Callithrix jacchus: one gene and its partners. The protein of the gene in region 3 purifies or fractionates together with the protein of the main gene of each other region. This does not show direct contact. Links are inferred from orthologs where the notes say so. Each region holds a gene or a part of one and is shown on either strand. Other genes may lie near its edges. The genes, in order: CD22, RPL35A, PTPN6 and CD72.

Region 1 (3,559 bases), on a different chromosome or scaffold from region 3:
CTGGGATTGCAGGTGTGAGCCACCATGCCTGGCCTCATTCATTCAATAAGCATCTACTGAGTACCTTCCGTGAGCCAGGCCCTATGCTAGGAGCTGGGAACGCAGCTGTGAATAGCAACAAAGCCCCTACCCTGAGAAGCTGACATGTCAGGAGACCCTGGCTGCTCCTTGCTCTTGACTCTAGGACCCGGGAATGCCCTGCGCCCCATCTGCGTTCCCCCTCCCTGTGTCCATCGTCTCTCCCTAGAACCAGAGGCTGCATGGCTACTCACACTGGACATCCAGCTCAGCTCCCGGGCCCCTCTGTCCAGTACCAAGAAGGTTTTCTGCCACGCAGGAATAAGTCCCGGTGTGCCAGGGGAGGGCCTTAGGGATGCGGAATGTCCCCTCTGTCCTTCCCTGCACTTCTTTCCCGTTGTGGTACCATGTGTAATTTGTTGGAGGAGGATTGGCCTGTGATGCGCAAAGAAACTTGACTTCATTTCCCTCCACAGCCGGTGACGGGGAGATCTGAACGCTGGAAGGTTCTGGGGCATCTGGAAGACGGGGCAGAGGCGAATGGGAAGGTGAGGAGAGCACCCCCTCAACCTGAGCACATGGCCCCAAGAACCCCTGAGTCTCCCCTCTCCGGGTCCTCCCCTGCCAACTCCCTGCCTGGCCCACCCCCGGCTCCAAGGGCCTCACACTTCACTTGTAGAACCACTGGGCCTGACATTCCTGTGCCCACGTCATTGGAGGCCTGACAGCAGTACGTCCCACTCTGGTGCTTGGTCACTTCCGGCAGCTGTAGCGTGAGTGTGTTCTGTCCCTCCAGCAGGGCCCCATCCTTGTGCCAGGATACAGTCCTGTAGTCCGGGTTGCTGCTGCTGACCTCGCAGGTCATGGTCACAGAGTCCCCCTCCCTTACCGTGGGTTCACTGGGAGTGACATTGATCTTCAATTGCGGGACGTCTGGAGGAGCAAAGGGGCAGTCGGGAGGGGGTGGGGAATTCTCAGAGGGCAGAATGTGGGGAAAGGACTTTTATTCTGACCAAGCGGGGACCCAGGTCACAGCCTGGTCACGGCCTCCTAACTTGGCTTTCAGCTTCCCCCTCCCACTTCCTCTGCCTGCTGGTCTCCACCAGCAGCATGCAGGGTTCCTCACACCATCCACCAGACCTCGCCAATCCTGCGGGAAGCCACAAGTGGGTTCCACGCGTTGCACAGAATCCCAGACCCTCACTGCAGCCCTTGGGATCCGGAGTCCTGCTCCATCTCCTGCCTCCTGTCCTGACATGTGGCCCTCAGCCTCTGAGATCCTCCCACTCCCAGCTCCTGCCTCAAGCCTTTGAACATGCTCTTCTCTTCCCCTGAAATCCTCCTCTCTCAAATATTCGCTGGCCTCAGCCCCTCCCTCTGTTCCAATCAGCTGAAGTGCTCACCTTCTTAAAGAGATCTCTCTCTATCACTCCCCTCTCCCAGCCTTATTTTTTCCTAATACACAATCTACCTACAATAATGTTGTATATTTCTTTGTTAACATTGCTTTGTTCCATATCCTAATGTCTTGGCTCGTGCTCTGTATTTCTTTGTTAATCCATTTGTTGTCTGTCTCTTTCACTGCAGTGCTGGCTCCGTGTGGGGCAAGAGCTTTGCTCACTGCTGCACCCTGCCCCCTGCCCTGTGCCCCCCCCCTCAGCTGGCAGCCCTAATAAGGCCTGGAACCTAGTAGGTTTGTGATACATATTTATTGAATGAATGAGGCACAAAATAAAAAATCCCCCCCAAGAGGGAAACAAAGAGACCTAATCAGATAATCCCCAAATCATGTCGCTGCTTGAGGATGGACCGTTTTTTTTTTTTTTTGAGATGGAGTCTGGCTCTGTTGCCCAGGCTGGAGTGCAGTGAGTGGCAAGGTCTCGGGTCACGGCAACCTCTGCCTCCTGGGTTCAGGTGATTCTCCTGCCTCAGCCTCCCGAGTAGCTGAGACTACAGGCACGCGCCACCACGCCTTGCTAATTTTTTGCATTTTTAGTAGAGATGGGGTTTCACCATGTTAGCCAGGATGGTCTCCATCTCCTGACCTCATGATCCACCTGCCTCTGCCTTCCAAAGTGCTGGGATTACAGGTATGAGCCACCATGCCTGGCCAAGGATGGACTATTTTATTACGTTAGGCTAAATTGAATCAATTTCCCAAAACCCCAGGACTGACAAGGCGGGTGGTGCCAGAGGGAGGTCAGTGTGACCGGGGCGCGAGGACACCACTGTCTGTGCAGGCTTCCCCGTGTCCTGGGTGCGTGCTACCTGAGGGGCTGGGGAGAAGGTGACAAAGACCCTGCCCTTCCCATAGGAGTGTTGGGGAGACTCACGCTTCACATTCAGTTGCACTGTGTCTTTGGAGAGGACCTTCCCTTTCGCATCGTGGAGCTGGCAGGTCACGTTCTTCCCGTGGTGACTCCACTGTGTCCTGAGCTTGAGCTCGCTCCGGGTGAAGACAGAGTCAGGGACCAAGGAGGTCAGGGTAACAACAGACTGTGTCATTGAATCCCCCTCCAGGAACCACTGCAATCGGATCTGATACCCATAGCAGGAGAAATTCAGCAAGCAGGTCAGAGTGATTTCCTGGGATTCTTGAATTTCTGGAGGGAGCTGGATATGAGGTGGAAAGGGCTTTTCTGCAAAAGAACAGAGACCGTGCTGGAGCCTGGGAGACTAGATGTCTTGTCCCAGATCACCCCTCAGGAACCCCTTGCCACTTCATTCCACCTCTCTCCAGTCCTGCTGTTTTTTTGGGGGGGGAGGGATGGAACCTCCCTCTGTCACCCAGGCTGGAGTGCAGTGGTGCGATCTCAGCTTGCTGCAACCTCCGCCTCCCCAATTCTAGTGGTCCCTCTGCCTCAGCCTCCCAAGTAGCTGGGATTACAGGCACCCACCACCATGCCCAACTAATTTTTTGTATTTTTAGTAGAGACAGGATTTCACCATGTTGGCCAGGCTGATCTTGAACTCCTGACCTCAAGTGATCCTCCTGCCTTGGCCTCCCAAAGTCCTGGGATTACAGGTGTAAGCCACCACGCCGGGCCTGTTTTTTTTTTTTCTTTAGAGACAGGGTCTTGCTCTGTCACCCAGGCTGGAGTACAGTGGCACAATCCTAGCTTACTGCAGCCTCGACCTCCTGGGCTCAAGCAATCCTCTTATCTCAGTCCCCTGAGTAACTGGGACTACAGGCATGTACCACCACATCTAGCTAGATTTTAAATTTTTTTGTAGAGATAGGGTCTTGCCATGTTACCCAGGCTGGTCTCAAACTCCTGGGCTCAAGTGATCCTCCGACCTCAGCCTCCCAAAGTGCTGGGGTTACAGGCAGGAACTACTGCACCCAGCCCAGTCCTGCTTTTCTCCACTTTGAATCGCTTTTGCTCACTTGAAATAGTCTCTGAAAGGCCTTGACCACACTAAACGTCCTTGGGAATTGTAATCTATGCTTCTTTCATTCTCATTGACGGATGTGCGCTTTCTGAACGATGCAAGGTTGTACTCCCACCACCTCTAAGTGTATTTTACCAGTTTAGTTCCT
Region 2 (4,290 bases), on a different chromosome or scaffold from region 3:
GTTCTATCCTGATATATTTAAGACAGGATCTGATTTTAACAGTGACTTACAAACATCTATTTCATGCAACTTTGGAGCCATCCTTTACTCCTCTCTCTCATTCCTCATCCACCAGCAAATCCTGCCAGAATTTAAATATAATCAGAATTCCAGTACTCATCACGTGTGTTTCCACACCATCATCTCTCATCACATTCACTACAGTAACCTATAATTCTCTTCCTGCTGGTGCCCTTGCCTCCCTTCAGTCCCAACGCAGTGACTTTCTCAATATGGAAGTCAGATCGAGTCACTCTTCTGTTCAGAACCCTTAAATACTTCCCATCTCAAAGTAAGGGGCGGAAAGCCTTTTACACTGGCCTCTCTGCTTAATTTTCTCCACAGAAGCTACCTTCTTCTAATGTGCCACCTATTTTCCTTGTTCACTGTCTTGCTCCCCCTCGTAGGATGTAAGCTCCATGAGGGAAGAGATTTGTTTACTGCCATGTGGTCATCCTACACAAACCTTGGTATAGGGTAGCCATTCATTAAACTATTTGTTAAATAAATTAATGAATCCATAGGGTAACCCAAATAAATGCGTAATAATTCGGAAATGTAAATCTCTGGCGTCCACGAATACACCTCTACAAGTATCTACTGAGGACCTATCAGGTGCGGACACGAGGTAGCTAAAATAAGTCTAAAAAGGCGATAAAGCCTCCTCTAGGCAGTCCTCCTTATACCTTGGATCCAAAAAGAAGAATGGAGGTAAGAATTTAAGTCCTTTCATTCTTTTTTTAATTCTTTTTTTTTCTTTTGTAGAGATAGGGGAGGGCGGGGGAGATGGTCTCACTATGCTGCCCAGGCTGGTCTCGAACTCCTGGCCTCAAGCGATCCTCTCGCCTCGGCTTCCCAAAGAGCTGGGTTTACAGGCGTGAGCCACAGTGCCCAGACTCATTTCTTGAAGAGATAACTAAGTAGAGGGGAGAAAAGAAGTATAGAAAAAGAAAAAGGGAAGAGCTCCTGCTGCCTTCCTGCTCCCAGCCTTTCTCTTCCATGCTAGGTTAGAGTCTCCGTTCTGTCTATTGCTGTATGAATCGAAGGAAAAGCACCCTCGATTTGTTCGCAAATCAATCTTACAGTCAATCAGCCTTTAGGCAGTGGGACCGTCCTCTCCTCAGGCAGCCTCACCTTTCCACCGACAGCATCCGGGGACGCAAGGAGCAAGCTAAGTTGTTTCTATGGCAACGCACAGCTTCGGCGGATTTAGCTGGCTACTATTTTGCCTTCCCCTGTTACCAACTAATAGGCTTACCTTGCAGCCTACCAAAATGAAAGGATTAAGTAAAATAATTCTAAGAGTGCTCTTGAATGTGACTTATTTCAGTCCGAAGACGATTTCCGAGGGCTGCTGTTCTGGCGTTTTTAGAAGATGCCTAAATTGAGGGCGCATTGGAGAGGTGCTTAATCCCACAAGGCCGCGCGGCGGGGCCTCGTATTTCTCTTCCCGCCATCTTGGCACTTGTGGAGGCTAGAGAAGCGCCTGCTGCTGAAATTTGGAGGTAAATGACTGGAGTGAGTTTGTTCGTCTACCCTAGCGAGTTGCCGGTGCGTATCGGAATCACTGCCAGCCATTGATTTCTATGGGTTTCAAGAAGAGAGACAACAGGATGCAGGAGATGCTGGACTGATTGTGCTTGGTCCCCTCACACCCGGAGAACGGCTGCCCGGTTATCTAAGTTAAATTCTTGGACCCGAGCGGAGTGAAATGGATATTTTTGTTCGTCTGCAGTTGTCCATGGGGCCGTGCTTCCTTTAGGATAGGGTTTTTGTTTCCTCCCTTTGCTAACAGTCTCTTCCTCAGCTTTTCTCCCCCGCCAAGTGTAAAGGTCTTAGATGTGTTTCTCTGCTTAAGTCTCCATTTCTTTTCCCGAGTGTTCCCAGGCTTTTCTAAGAGTTATTTTAGTGCCTCTTGTCCCTTAGTTTTGTCTCATTCTTAAGTTTGCTTAGATACTAACTTCTCTGAGGTTCGAATGTCTAGCCGGACCCCGCGTTTCATACGGATGTTCTGGCGTAATATTTTCCCCGCACTCTTACGTGAAATTCCGATTCAAAAGGAATTTGCCTTAGAGGCTTAAATGAGAGGGGACGGGGCGGGACATTTGTGTGGCTTGCTTTAAACAGAATCTTTTGTTTTAAGGCCTGCTGGGAACAGGACTTACAGAAGGAGCTATGTCTGGAAGGTACGCGTTTTAAATATAGTTGCTGTTTGTTTTTGTGTGTTACACGTGAACGTAAATGAGAGCTTAAAATTGGTAAGAAAAAAATTAGATGTTCGCTCTAGGTAACTTTTGGGTGGGGGTTATTACAGGTCTAACTGGTTCGTTGAAGATTGCGTTTCATGTTGTGTATCTTTTGTTTCTTAGGCTGTGGTCCAAGGCTATTTTTGCCGGCTATAAGCGGGGTCTCCGGAACCAAAGGGAGCACACAGCTCTTCTTAAAATCGAAGGTGTTTATGCCCGAGATGAAACAGAATTCTATTTGGGCAAGAGATGTGCTTATGTATACAAAGCAAAGAAGTAAGTTTATTGGGTTTTAATTTGAGATCTGTCTCTTTTTCTTTTTTTTAAATAATGGACTCTTGCTCTGTTGCCCAGGCTGGAGTCCAGTGAGCTATCTCCCTCACTGCAACCTTCGCCTCCGATTCAAGCAGTTTTGCCTCAGCTTCCCTTGTAGCTGAGATTGCAGGCACCCGCCCAGCTAGTTTTTGTATTTTTAGTTGGGGGTGGGGGCGTGAGGGGGTTGGTTGTCTTGTTGGCGAGGCTGCTCTCAAACTCCTGACCTCAGGTGATACACCCGCCTTGGCCTCTTATTAAAGTGCTAGGATTACAGGCGTGAGCCACTGCGCCTGGCTTCATTTTCCTATTGGAAGAATAAACAAAAGAGGTGGCTGAAGTATTTGGTATTGGTTTTTTTGTTTTTGACAAGAGACTTGCTCTGTTGCCCAGGTCGAAGTGAGGTGGCGCGATCTTGTCCCATGGCAACCTCCGCCTCCTGAGTCAAGTGTCAAGCAGTTCTCCAGCCTCAGCCTTCTGAGTAGCTGGGCTTCAAGGGGTTCACTACCACACCCTGCTAATTTTTGTATTTTTTATTAGAGACTAGGTTTTCCCATGTTGGCCAGGCTGGATTGGTGTTGCTGTGGTGCCTATTTTGCGTCATTGAACTTAATGGGGAGTTTTAGAAGGACATTACTTTTTGAGGGCGGTGTTGGATTTAGGAACTTTTGGCACTTAATAAAGGAGCGAATTTCTTATTACATTGTGATCATTTAAAGGTTTTTAATTTTCTTCTCAGCTCCTTTGGCCAGAATTTAAGGTGGTTTAGAACGCTTTTCGTGTGTAATGCATTTTGTTGATGCCTTAAAATTAAGATTTTTTTTTTCTTTTCTTTTTTTTGAGACATAGTTTCACTCTTGTCCATGCTGGAGTGCAGTGGCACAATCTCAATGCACTGCAATCTCCACCTCCCAGGTTCAAGCGATTTTCCTGCCTCAGCCTCCCAAGTAGTTGGGGTTAACTCTGTATTTTTAGTAGAAACAGGGTTTCACAGTGTTGGTCAGGCTGGTCTTGAACTCCTGACCTCAAGTGAGCCACCCGGCTCTGCCTCCCAAAGTGCTGGGATTACGGGTGTGAGTCAGTGCACCAGGCCCAAATTGCGGCTTTTATGCATGCCTAAAGGTATTGATACTGTAGACATTAGTTCTTTTTGTTGAGAGGACATCTTGCTCTGTCACCCAGACTGGAGTGATCTTGGCTCACTGTGACCTAAGCCTCCCCAGTAGCTGGGATTACAGGCGTGTGCTACCATGCCAGGCTAACTTCTGTCTTTTTAATAGAGATGGGGTTGTGTCATGTTGGCTAGGCTGCTCTAGAACCCCTGACCCTGTAATCTGCCCGCCTTGGCCTCCCAAGTGCTGGGATTACAGGCCTGAACCACAGTGCTCAGCCAATCCTATTTTCTTAACCCATTCCAGGCCAATTAAAATCTCTGGGAAAGTGTTTTCATCATTGCCCCACCTTTTCATCTGCAGGCAAAGTGTTCCTTTAACATTTTAAGTCAGTGGCTTAAAATTTAAGTCGGGGGCCAGGTGCAGTAGCTCACACCTGTAATCCCAGTGTTTGGGAGGCATAGGTGGGAGGATTGCTTGATGTCATGAGATGGAGTCTGCAGTGACCGATGATTGGGTTACTGCACTGCAGGCTGGGTGAAAGACAACTGTTGTCTAATTAAAGGAAATATATATAAAGT
Region 3 (4,207 bases):
TGCTCCCCCAGAGACAGCATGTGTCAAGGCAAAGAGGTGGCATGCACAGAGTTCATGTGCGCAGTGCCTGGCTGTGAGCAGAGCTATGTGGCTGGAGCAAAGTTGCTCTGAGAGGTTGGGACCCTGCTGCAGAGGGTCATTCAAGGCCAGGCTGAGAAACTGAGGATGGAATCTGCACAAGGGGAGGCCTGGCCAAGCTACCTGGGAGGAAAATGGCCGTGGAAGGGATTCAGGACTAGAAGACTCAGTAGGAACCCCGTCGGTGGGGCAGACAGTGATGAGGTGAGCACTGGGGCAGGAGCAGAGATGAGTGTGAGAAGCAAGAATCAGTAGGGCTGGGGAGCCACACACCCACAAACTCGCCAGTACTCTGTAAGCAGGTTGTCACTTTTTCTTTTTCTTTTTTTTCTTTTGAGACAGTCTCGCTCTGTCACCAGGCTGGAGTGCAGTGGTGCAATCTTGGCTCACCAAAACCTCTGCCTCCCTGGTTCAAGCAATTCTCCTGCCTCAGCCTCCAGAGTAGCTGGGACTACAGGCACGTGCCACCACGCCCAGCTAATTTTTTGTATTTTTAGTAGAGACGGGGTTTCACCATGTTGACCAGGATGGTCTCGATCTCTTGACCTAGTGATCCACCTGCCTCGGCCTCCCAAAGTGCTGGAATTACAGGCTTGAGCCACTGCGCCTGGCCCCTCCCTCCCTCCCTTCCTTTCTTCCCTTCTTCCTTCCTTCTTTTCTTTTCTTTCTTTTTCTTTCTTTCTTCTTTTTTCCTTTCTTTTTCCTTTCTCTCCATTCTCTCTCTCTTTTTTTGAGACAGAATTTTGCTCTGTCATCCAGGCTGGAGTGCAGTGTCACAATCACAGCTCACTTCAGCCTTGACCTCCTGGGCTCCGGTGATCCTCCTGCCTCACCCTCCCAAGGAGCTGAGACCACAGGTGTGTGCCACCATGCCCAGCTATTTATTATTAGTAGTAGCAGTAGTAATGAGGTCTCCCTGTGCTTCCCAGAGTGCTCTTAAACTCCTGAGCTCAAGTGATCCTCCCACCTCCCAAACTGCTATGTTGCCCAGGCTGGTTTCAAACTCCTGAGCTCCAACGATCCTCCCACCTCAGCCTCCCAAATTGGGATCACATGTGTGTGCTACCTCGGCCGGCCAGGTTTTCACTTTCACCATCCCAGGTCCAACAGAGTCTAACCTGCCCTGGCCCTGCCTCCGCTCCTCTAGGGTCCTCTGTCACTGCATCACAGGCAGACTGTCCTTTTTTTGTTTGTTCCCACGTTAGAGCTTTGTGCGCTCCATCTCCTCTGCCCAGGGATGCTTGACTCTTTTTTTTTTTTAATAAAGACGGGGTTTCACCATGTTGGTCAGGCTGGTCTTGAACTCCCGACCTCAGGTGATCCGCTTGCCCTGGCCTCCAAAGTGCTTGGATTACAGGCGTGAGCCACCACACCCGGCCTAAGGATGCTTGACTCTTGATCACCACATCATTCTTTTCTTTTTTATCTTCTTCCTTCCTTCTTTTTCTCTGTTTCCTTCCTTCCTTTCTCCCTCCCTCTCTCTCTTTCTTTCTTTCTCCACCACGCCTAACTCCTCTTCCTCCTCATCCAGGTCTCAGCTCAAATGTCACCTCCTCAGGAAGCCCTCCCTGATCCCTCCAGCTAGTAATGTCACCTGCACACCCAGTCACTTGCTAGCACATGAAGCTGGTTCATTTTCTTTTTTCGAGACAGGGTCTCACTCTGTTGCCCAGGCTGGTGTGCAGTGGTGCAATCACCACTCCCTGTGGCCTTGACCTCCTGGGCTCAAGCCTCACACCTCAGCCTCTCCATAGCTGGAACCACAGATGTGTGCCACCATACCCAGCTTATTTTTTGTATAGACAGGGTCTCACTATATTGGCCAGGCTGGTCTCAAATTCCTGGGCTCAAGCAATCCTCTCGCTTCAGCCTCCCAAAGTGCTGGGATCACAGGTGTGGACCACCATGCCCAGCCGAGGCTGTTTCATTTTCTGCATAACACTTTTGAGAATCTGCAATGATCCAATTTATTGGGTTGTTTGTTCAGTCTGTGACCTCCCATGGGAACATAAGCTCCGTGAAAGCAGGGACCATGTCTGTCTTGTTCACTCCAGTATTACCAGCATCTTAAACAGCACCCTGTGTGCAATAGATGCTCAGCACGTATCTGATGAATGAATGATGCAAGGGAAAGGGAAGTGAAAGGAACCGGAAAGAAGATGGGACCAAAGTCAGATAATGGGAAGAGCAGGGAAGTTGGCTGGGCAGGAGAGGCCTTCACGGGTGGCCTCTAACTGCTGCTATGTTTGAGGTGATGTGAACTACCCAAGGGACAGGTCCCAAGCAGGAGGCAGAAGCAGGAGCCCAGAGGCTGGAGGTAGAAATGCAATGGAGAGAAGAGATATACACTTGTCAGGGGAAAATGTTAAAGAGGGGCCAGAGGGGCATGAATGAGCCCGGGGGTCCTCACACCTTGCGGGAAGGGAAGGTTCATAGGGACAGGAAGCAGGCGCAGGGCAGGGCAGCGGCAGATCGCACTCAGGCTCACACACATGTTGCAGTGAGCATGAACAAGGCCTCCCTCCCTCCAAAACTAACAGGAGACTGGGACCCAGGTGGTGCACGAACTTACCCACGGGACAGCATCTCTCTGGAGGGATGAAGTCACGGCAGAGGGCCTCAGGGGGCGGGGCTGAGCCAGTGGCACAGCTGTGCACCGTGGCCCAAGCCAGGTGAGGACGAACCTCTCAGAAATCAGTCACTTCCTCCTCAATCCAGCCTGCCAGGCCAATGGCCCCGCAGGGACAAACCCTGGACTAATAGTCTCCAGGAAAAGGACAGGTGGGGCGGGGCTGGCCTGAGACCGCCCACAGCAGCCAGCTTCCCTGCAGCCCCAGTGCGGGAGTCCAGCAGGCCCTCCCGCCGGTCCAGGGCTGCCTTCCCTCGGGAGAGGAGGAGCCACCTGGAGCTCCACCTGGAGCTCAAGCTGACAGAGCGGCGGGAGGTTGGGTAGGGGCAAAGACCAGGAAGTAACCCTGGCTGAGGGAAGAGCAACCAATGGGGGAAATCTCTCAGTAGGCGCAAACCAAAGGGCCTAAGGAAAAGCCCTAACAGCCCAATTCCTCAGAGAAGGAGGTGCGCCCTGTGCACGCCCACCCACCCAGGGCGCTGAGGAGCCCAGTCCAACCTCTTACCCTGCCCTGGGGAAAGGGGAGGAGCCTCAGCCCTCACTGGAGCAGGGTTAGGCCCAGCCAGGAGTATAGGAAAGAGCTATTCAGGAGGATGCGGCCTGGAAAGGAAGAGAGAATCTGGGGAGGAGAGAGGGAGGTTGTCAGGTCCACAAAGACTGACACGGGGCACGGTGGCTCACACCTGTAACCCAAGGTGGGTGGATCACAAGGTCAGGAGTTCGAGACCAGCCTGGCCAAGATGTTGACACCCCGTCCCTACTAAAAATACAAAAATTAGCTGGACGCGGTGGTATGCGCCTGTAGTCCCAGCTACTCAGGAGGCTGAGGCAGGAGAATCACTTGAACCTGGGAGGCGGAGGTTGCAGTGAGCTGAGATCACGCCATTGCACTCCAGCCTGGGTGGCAGAGTGACAAGAAAACTGACAAGAAGGCTAAGTCGCAGACACATTTATTATTGACTGGAACATCAAGGCCTTTCCTCCCCTGTTAGTGGCACAAGGGAGGGCTAACTCTCAGGAAGCAGCCACGCTGCCACCAGCAGCAGGTCCATGAGGTGGCAGCGTCATGGGTGGCAGGAACAGTGCCTTCAGCTTGCCTGACAGGCTGGCAATCTCGGGATCCTGGGCTTCGTAGGATTTGACCAAGCGGGCAAACTTGAGGACACCTGCAAGAGGGAGTGGAGGGTCAATGCTTCTCCTAAGGACCAGCGTGCCTAAGACAGGTGGAGGGGGTGGTAGTCTGAGCTTGAGCTGTTCCCCCACTGGCAGGGCAGCTGTTGGCAGAACAGCACATGCAGGACTCTGCCCCATGCAGTTTGGATCAACTTCTTATTCTACGTTGGGCACAACTGGATGGGGTGCATGAATGAAGATGTCCCAAAGCAGTGCGCTTCTTGCCCTCAAGTGAACCATTTTAGCAGTTTAGTCACAAGAACCCCAAGTGTGAACACCCACAAGACCCCAGGTCTGTAGCTGGAATGCAGGAGTGCTATGGGGCAG
Region 4 (4,051 bases), on a different chromosome or scaffold from region 3:
GGGGATCTCAGCTATAACGAAAATTAATTAAAGCTGAGGACCCTGTCTTTAGAAAGATGTACAAACAGCCAAGTCTAGTGTTCCCAGATCCTTGTCACTGATGTCAGCCAAATGAAACCTTGGACACTGTGATTTGGACTGCTGGTGCCATCCTCCTCTCTCCCACAGAATGCCTTGGAACTGGGTGGGTCCCCCTAAATCCAGTATGCAGCTTGGTCCTTCTCTCTGTTGGCCAAGGCTGGACAGCTTATGTCAGCCACCACTCTGGTTCACTGTCCCTTTCCTGAACAGCTCACAGCCCACTGTGATAGACAGACCCCTGCCACTAGTATCTCCTCGCTCCAATCCATCCCTCCCATCTCTCCTCTCCCCAGAGCGGATACCTGATGAGTGGCATGTGAAGAAGGGCTTCAGTCTGTTCTCCATGTTGCTCAGCTTCTGCTCCAAGGCCCTCCTCTGCTCCTCCTCACTTCGCAAGGTCTCCTTCGTCTTCTCTTTGTCTGCCTGGCAGGCCTGGAGCTGCCCTTGGGCCTCCTGATGGGCCCTCTGTTCTTCCTGTAGTGCTTCCTGACTCTGTACCAGATCTCTCCTGGACCCCTGCAGATCCTCTGCCCTCTGTTCCAGCTGAGTTATCTTAAGGTGGAGCTGCTGCCTCAGGCTGCTGTTAGTGGCTTCCAGAACCCTGTTCATCTGCTGGAGCTGCTGAGACACCTGCAGATCTGTTTGGCCACAGAGATTTGGAGGACGTCTTCTCCAGCCCTGCCCTAGTGCCCTGAGACTGCAGCATCAGCCCTTTTTCTGCTTCTTGCAACTTTTTACATTACAGGCTGAAATACGAGATTTGACTGCCTAAAACTTAAGGAGGTACTGGAGTAGGTGAGGACGATTCAGGAAGACAACAGACCTGGCTGGAAACCAAACTTAAAGCTAAGCATGTGGTGGTAGTGATGATGAGCCCTGGTTTGGGGGTCAGCTTTGGTTTGTGGGTCAGCTTTGGGGAGGGAGTCGGGATGAAAGTCCTTCGGTGTAAGTGGGAAGTGGGGACGGTGTGGGGACAGCCTTACTCACAGCGCACTCCCAGGCAGATGGCAGCCACTCCTAACAGCAGGCAGGTGAGGAGCAGGCCAAGCAGGAGGTATGGCAGGCAGGCTGTGCGGCCTTAGGGGGACAGTGGGATGGATGCGGGCAGTCAGCCCCGGGAAAGAAAGTAGAGACTAGTGGATGGGTGCGTAGGGGAGATTCCTGGGGAAGGCATCCCTAGAGGAGGGCGGTGCAGAGCTGAGGGGGCAAGCATGGTGGTTTCTGTTGGGTAGCAGGGAGTTTCGCATGTAGGGGAGAAGGTGTTGCAGAATCAGAGCTGGTAAGGATTCGGGGACATTACCTGGGAGAAGGGGAAGGAAATATCAGATGGAGAGAGGGAGAGAGGAGAAGGGTGGGGAGGTAGGTGAATTGGGACCATCCAAGGGGGCGGCGGTGCACGTCGGATTCTGGCGCACTGGGATGGAGGTAAATGGCGCAAGGCAGCCAGGGAGGGGTTCAGCCAGGGCGGGGTTCTGCTGGGGCGCAGTTCTGCCCTGGAAGGGTTCAACCCGGCAAGAGCTGCACCCCGCGGGGCCCAGAGCCATCCATAGTCCCCGAGGCCGCCCAGCACACACACTCACAGGGGAGAATCCGCCCGACCGCCAATGACGTCACGGCACTCCAGGAAGCTGTTGGCTGCTCGGACTTGACCGCTGTCGAGGGGAGCATCCAGTGTGAGACAGGACGCCTCGAGTATTGCTCCTTTTCCTCCTGCGCACCCGCTTTTCGTCCTCGCCACTGGGAAACTCCAGCCCGCTAGAGTTGCTCTGGGACACTCCGTCACTCTCCTGAGTTCCTGGTCTGCCCGGGGCTCTCTCGGCTCCCTCCTGGGTTTCACAGTCCCGGGACTCCCTCATCTCTCCTAGTTCTCCCTTTATTGTTTCCTCAGTGGCCCCTTATTTTCAGCTCCAATCCCTCTCCCCCATTGCTCTCATACCTCTCCCATTCCCTCTTTTCCCTCCCATGGCTCCCCATTTCCCATTAGAACTCATCCCTCCCCAGGGCTGCCCTGGGGTCTCCACCTTGCTGAAGGAATCTTTCTTCCTCTCCTGGCTCCCATTTATCCTGTTCCTATTCTTCTCTTTCCTACCAACCGGCCTCCTCCTTTCCCCCAGGGTATTGAGCTCTCAAGAATACTATGGACCTGCAATCCCAACACTTTGGGAGGCTAGGGCAGAGGATCAATTGAGCCCAGGATATCGAGGCCGCAGTGAGCCATGATCACACCACTGTACTCCAGCCTGAGTGACAGAGCAAGACCCTGTCTCAACAACAACATTGTGGACTCCCCAACTCAAGACACAGCCCCTCAACAAACACATCCCCTGCAACAAACATACATCCCCCAGGATCTCCAGACCTGCTTTGTCCCCTAGTCCAGAAGAAGCCAAGCTCAAGGGCACCCCTGGGACTGAGGGCACTTGAACATTCTCATAGGTGAGTTCCCCATCCTCATCAGCCCCTGGTTCTGGAGACAAGAGAATAGAGACCAATGATGTGGGAGTCAGGAATGGGGTCTGTGGGGCAGGGAGTGGGGATGCAGGATCAAGGGGAGCCCTCATCCCCCTTACCCTGTCCTAACCGGCTGGAGTTGCTCTTCTTCAGGGGAGCCTTCACGAACCTCAGATCCGCATAGGTGATGGCCTCAGCCATGGTCCCGAGCAGCTCTGCCCCCACCCGTCTTCCCTGTCATCCACCGTCCTCCCTTGCCCCTCTCCTCTCTGTCCCTTTACACCTAGGCTTTGTGTTACCTCTGTGACTGTACCGCTAAGCAGTTAGCCCTATGATTTCCAGTCACAAAAGAGGAAGATGTGAGCAAGTCTCAAACAGATGGGCTCAATGAAGCAGAAGGAATCCCTGGGCCAGGGCCAGAGGGGCCACAGAGGGGACACTGAGGTCCAAAGCACATGGGTAGGGGCTGGGCCTGTCCCCATGTCCTGCCTGTGCTGCTTCTCCATGCATCTTAGACCCATGTGGGCCATGCTGGGCCCCAAAACTGGTCCTCCTGGTTATCTGCCCTTTTCTGCCCCACCCTCCTCCCGGCTGCCTTGTCCACTGGGGCTTATGATGTGTAACTGGAGCTGCACTGATCCAGATGATCTCCCCAGCTCCAGGGTGAGGCTCCATTCTCCCCATCAGACTGGGGGCTCCTGGTTTGCATCTGTCACTCATCATCCTGGGGTTTCTAGTAACTGTGGGTTTAGGAACAGGCCAAGGCGAGGAACAGCCACGACTGCAGCACCTCTGGAAAGGTGTGTGGCAGCACTTCCCCCCAGGCACCCTCATGGGGAGCCAGGGAGCAGGTGAGCAAGGGAGTTGCAGAGGGTTTAAGAAGGGCTGCAGCTTCCTAGGCAAAGGCAAGGCAGAGGAGCAGAGCAGAGCCAGAGGCCGAGCGCAGACTCTGGACCAGCAGAGGTTTTGACATTTTCTTGGTTTGGTTTTGGTTTTCCTCCTACTTTCCTAGTAAAGTTCTTCCTTTAAAAAGTCCCAACACTGTCCCTGAGGAAAAAAGGGGCATTTGAGGCAGAGGACCCAGGGACTGAGAGGCCCTCATAGGTGATAGGGGCCTAGCTGATGGAGGAGAGAGGGAACCAGAGAAGGGGAGAAGAGGCTGCTGAACAGGGGTGTCCAAAGGTACTCCCTAATGTTCTTTTACCAGGATGTGACCCCTAATAAGAACCCCAAAACAGCCTACATCAGGGATAGGAACTGGAACAAGACATAGTGTGGGGGTGGGAAGAACTCGCCCAAGCAGTGTGGCATCCGCTCCGAAGAACCCCCTCCTGCAGCTGTGGGGAGGAAAAAGGAAGGGGGTAAAGGTCCTCATTGCATGCCAACAGCTCGGATGATTGGTGGTGTGTGGTGAGACGCTGCCAGGGACCCTAGAGTTCTGCCAATAGCTCCGCCCAGCCAGCCCTAGAGGAAGTGGCCACTGAGACGAGGCTGTCACCTCAAAAATGTATCTGTAGCC

The links.
Region 1: the proteins of PTPN6 (region 3) and CD22 purify together in Homo sapiens (affinity purification with western blotting; 5 studies listed by BioGRID and IntAct, with this or other methods). This does not show direct contact. The link is inferred for Callithrix jacchus from reciprocal best matches to the Homo sapiens genes PTPN6 and CD22.
Region 2: the proteins of PTPN6 (region 3) and RPL35A purify together in Homo sapiens (affinity purification with mass spectrometry; 3 studies listed by BioGRID and IntAct, with this or other methods). This does not show direct contact. The link is inferred for Callithrix jacchus from reciprocal best matches to the Homo sapiens genes PTPN6 and RPL35A.
Region 4: the proteins of PTPN6 (region 3) and CD72 purify together in Homo sapiens (affinity purification with western blotting; 3 studies listed by BioGRID). This does not show direct contact. The link is inferred for Callithrix jacchus from reciprocal best matches to the Homo sapiens genes PTPN6 and CD72.

Annotation. Positions count from the first base shown.
Region 1 is NC_133523.1:31,607,785-31,611,343, reverse strand, and holds part of CD22 (B-cell receptor CD22), read right to left. Parts: intron 2,658-3,559; coding exon 2,352-2,657; intron 952-2,351; coding exon 685-951; intron 537-684; coding exon 273-536; intron 1-272. UniProt on the Homo sapiens protein: Most highly expressed siglec (sialic acid-binding immunoglobulin-like lectin) on B-cells that plays a role in various aspects of B-cell biology including differentiation, antigen presentation, and trafficking to bone marrow.
Region 2 is NC_133518.1:81,470,851-81,475,140, forward strand, and holds the start of RPL35A (large ribosomal subunit protein eL33), read left to right. Parts: upstream 1-1,477; 5' UTR 1,478-1,590; intron 1,591-2,182; 5' UTR 2,183-2,214; coding exon 2,215-2,225; intron 2,226-2,408; coding exon 2,409-2,561; intron 2,562-4,290. Other genes in the region: DRC9 (dynein regulatory complex protein 9), read right to left, coding at 1,174-1,190.
Region 3 is NC_133510.1:21,210,792-21,214,998, reverse strand, and holds the start of PTPN6 (tyrosine-protein phosphatase non-receptor type 6), read right to left. Parts: upstream 2,825-4,207; 5' UTR 2,665-2,824; coding exon 2,651-2,664; intron 1-2,650. Other genes in the region: C9H12orf57 (protein C10), read right to left, coding at 3,722-3,873. UniProt on the Homo sapiens protein: Tyrosine phosphatase enzyme that plays important roles in controlling immune signaling pathways and fundamental physiological processes such as hematopoiesis.
Region 4 is NC_133502.1:142,531,037-142,535,087, forward strand, and holds the start of CD72 (B-cell differentiation antigen CD72), read right to left. Parts: upstream 2,844-4,051; 5' UTR 2,734-2,843; coding exon of another isoform or gene 2,652-2,733; 5' UTR 2,643-2,651; coding exon 2,441-2,642; intron 1,734-2,440; coding exon 1,662-1,733; intron 1,159-1,661; coding exon 1,069-1,158; intron 720-1,068; coding exon 384-719; intron 1-383. UniProt on the Homo sapiens protein: Co-receptor of B cell receptor (BCR) that plays both positive and negative roles on B-cell functions. Recognizes the Sm/ribonucleoprotein (RNP) self-antigen ligand, and coligation of CD72 and BCR inhibits BCR signaling.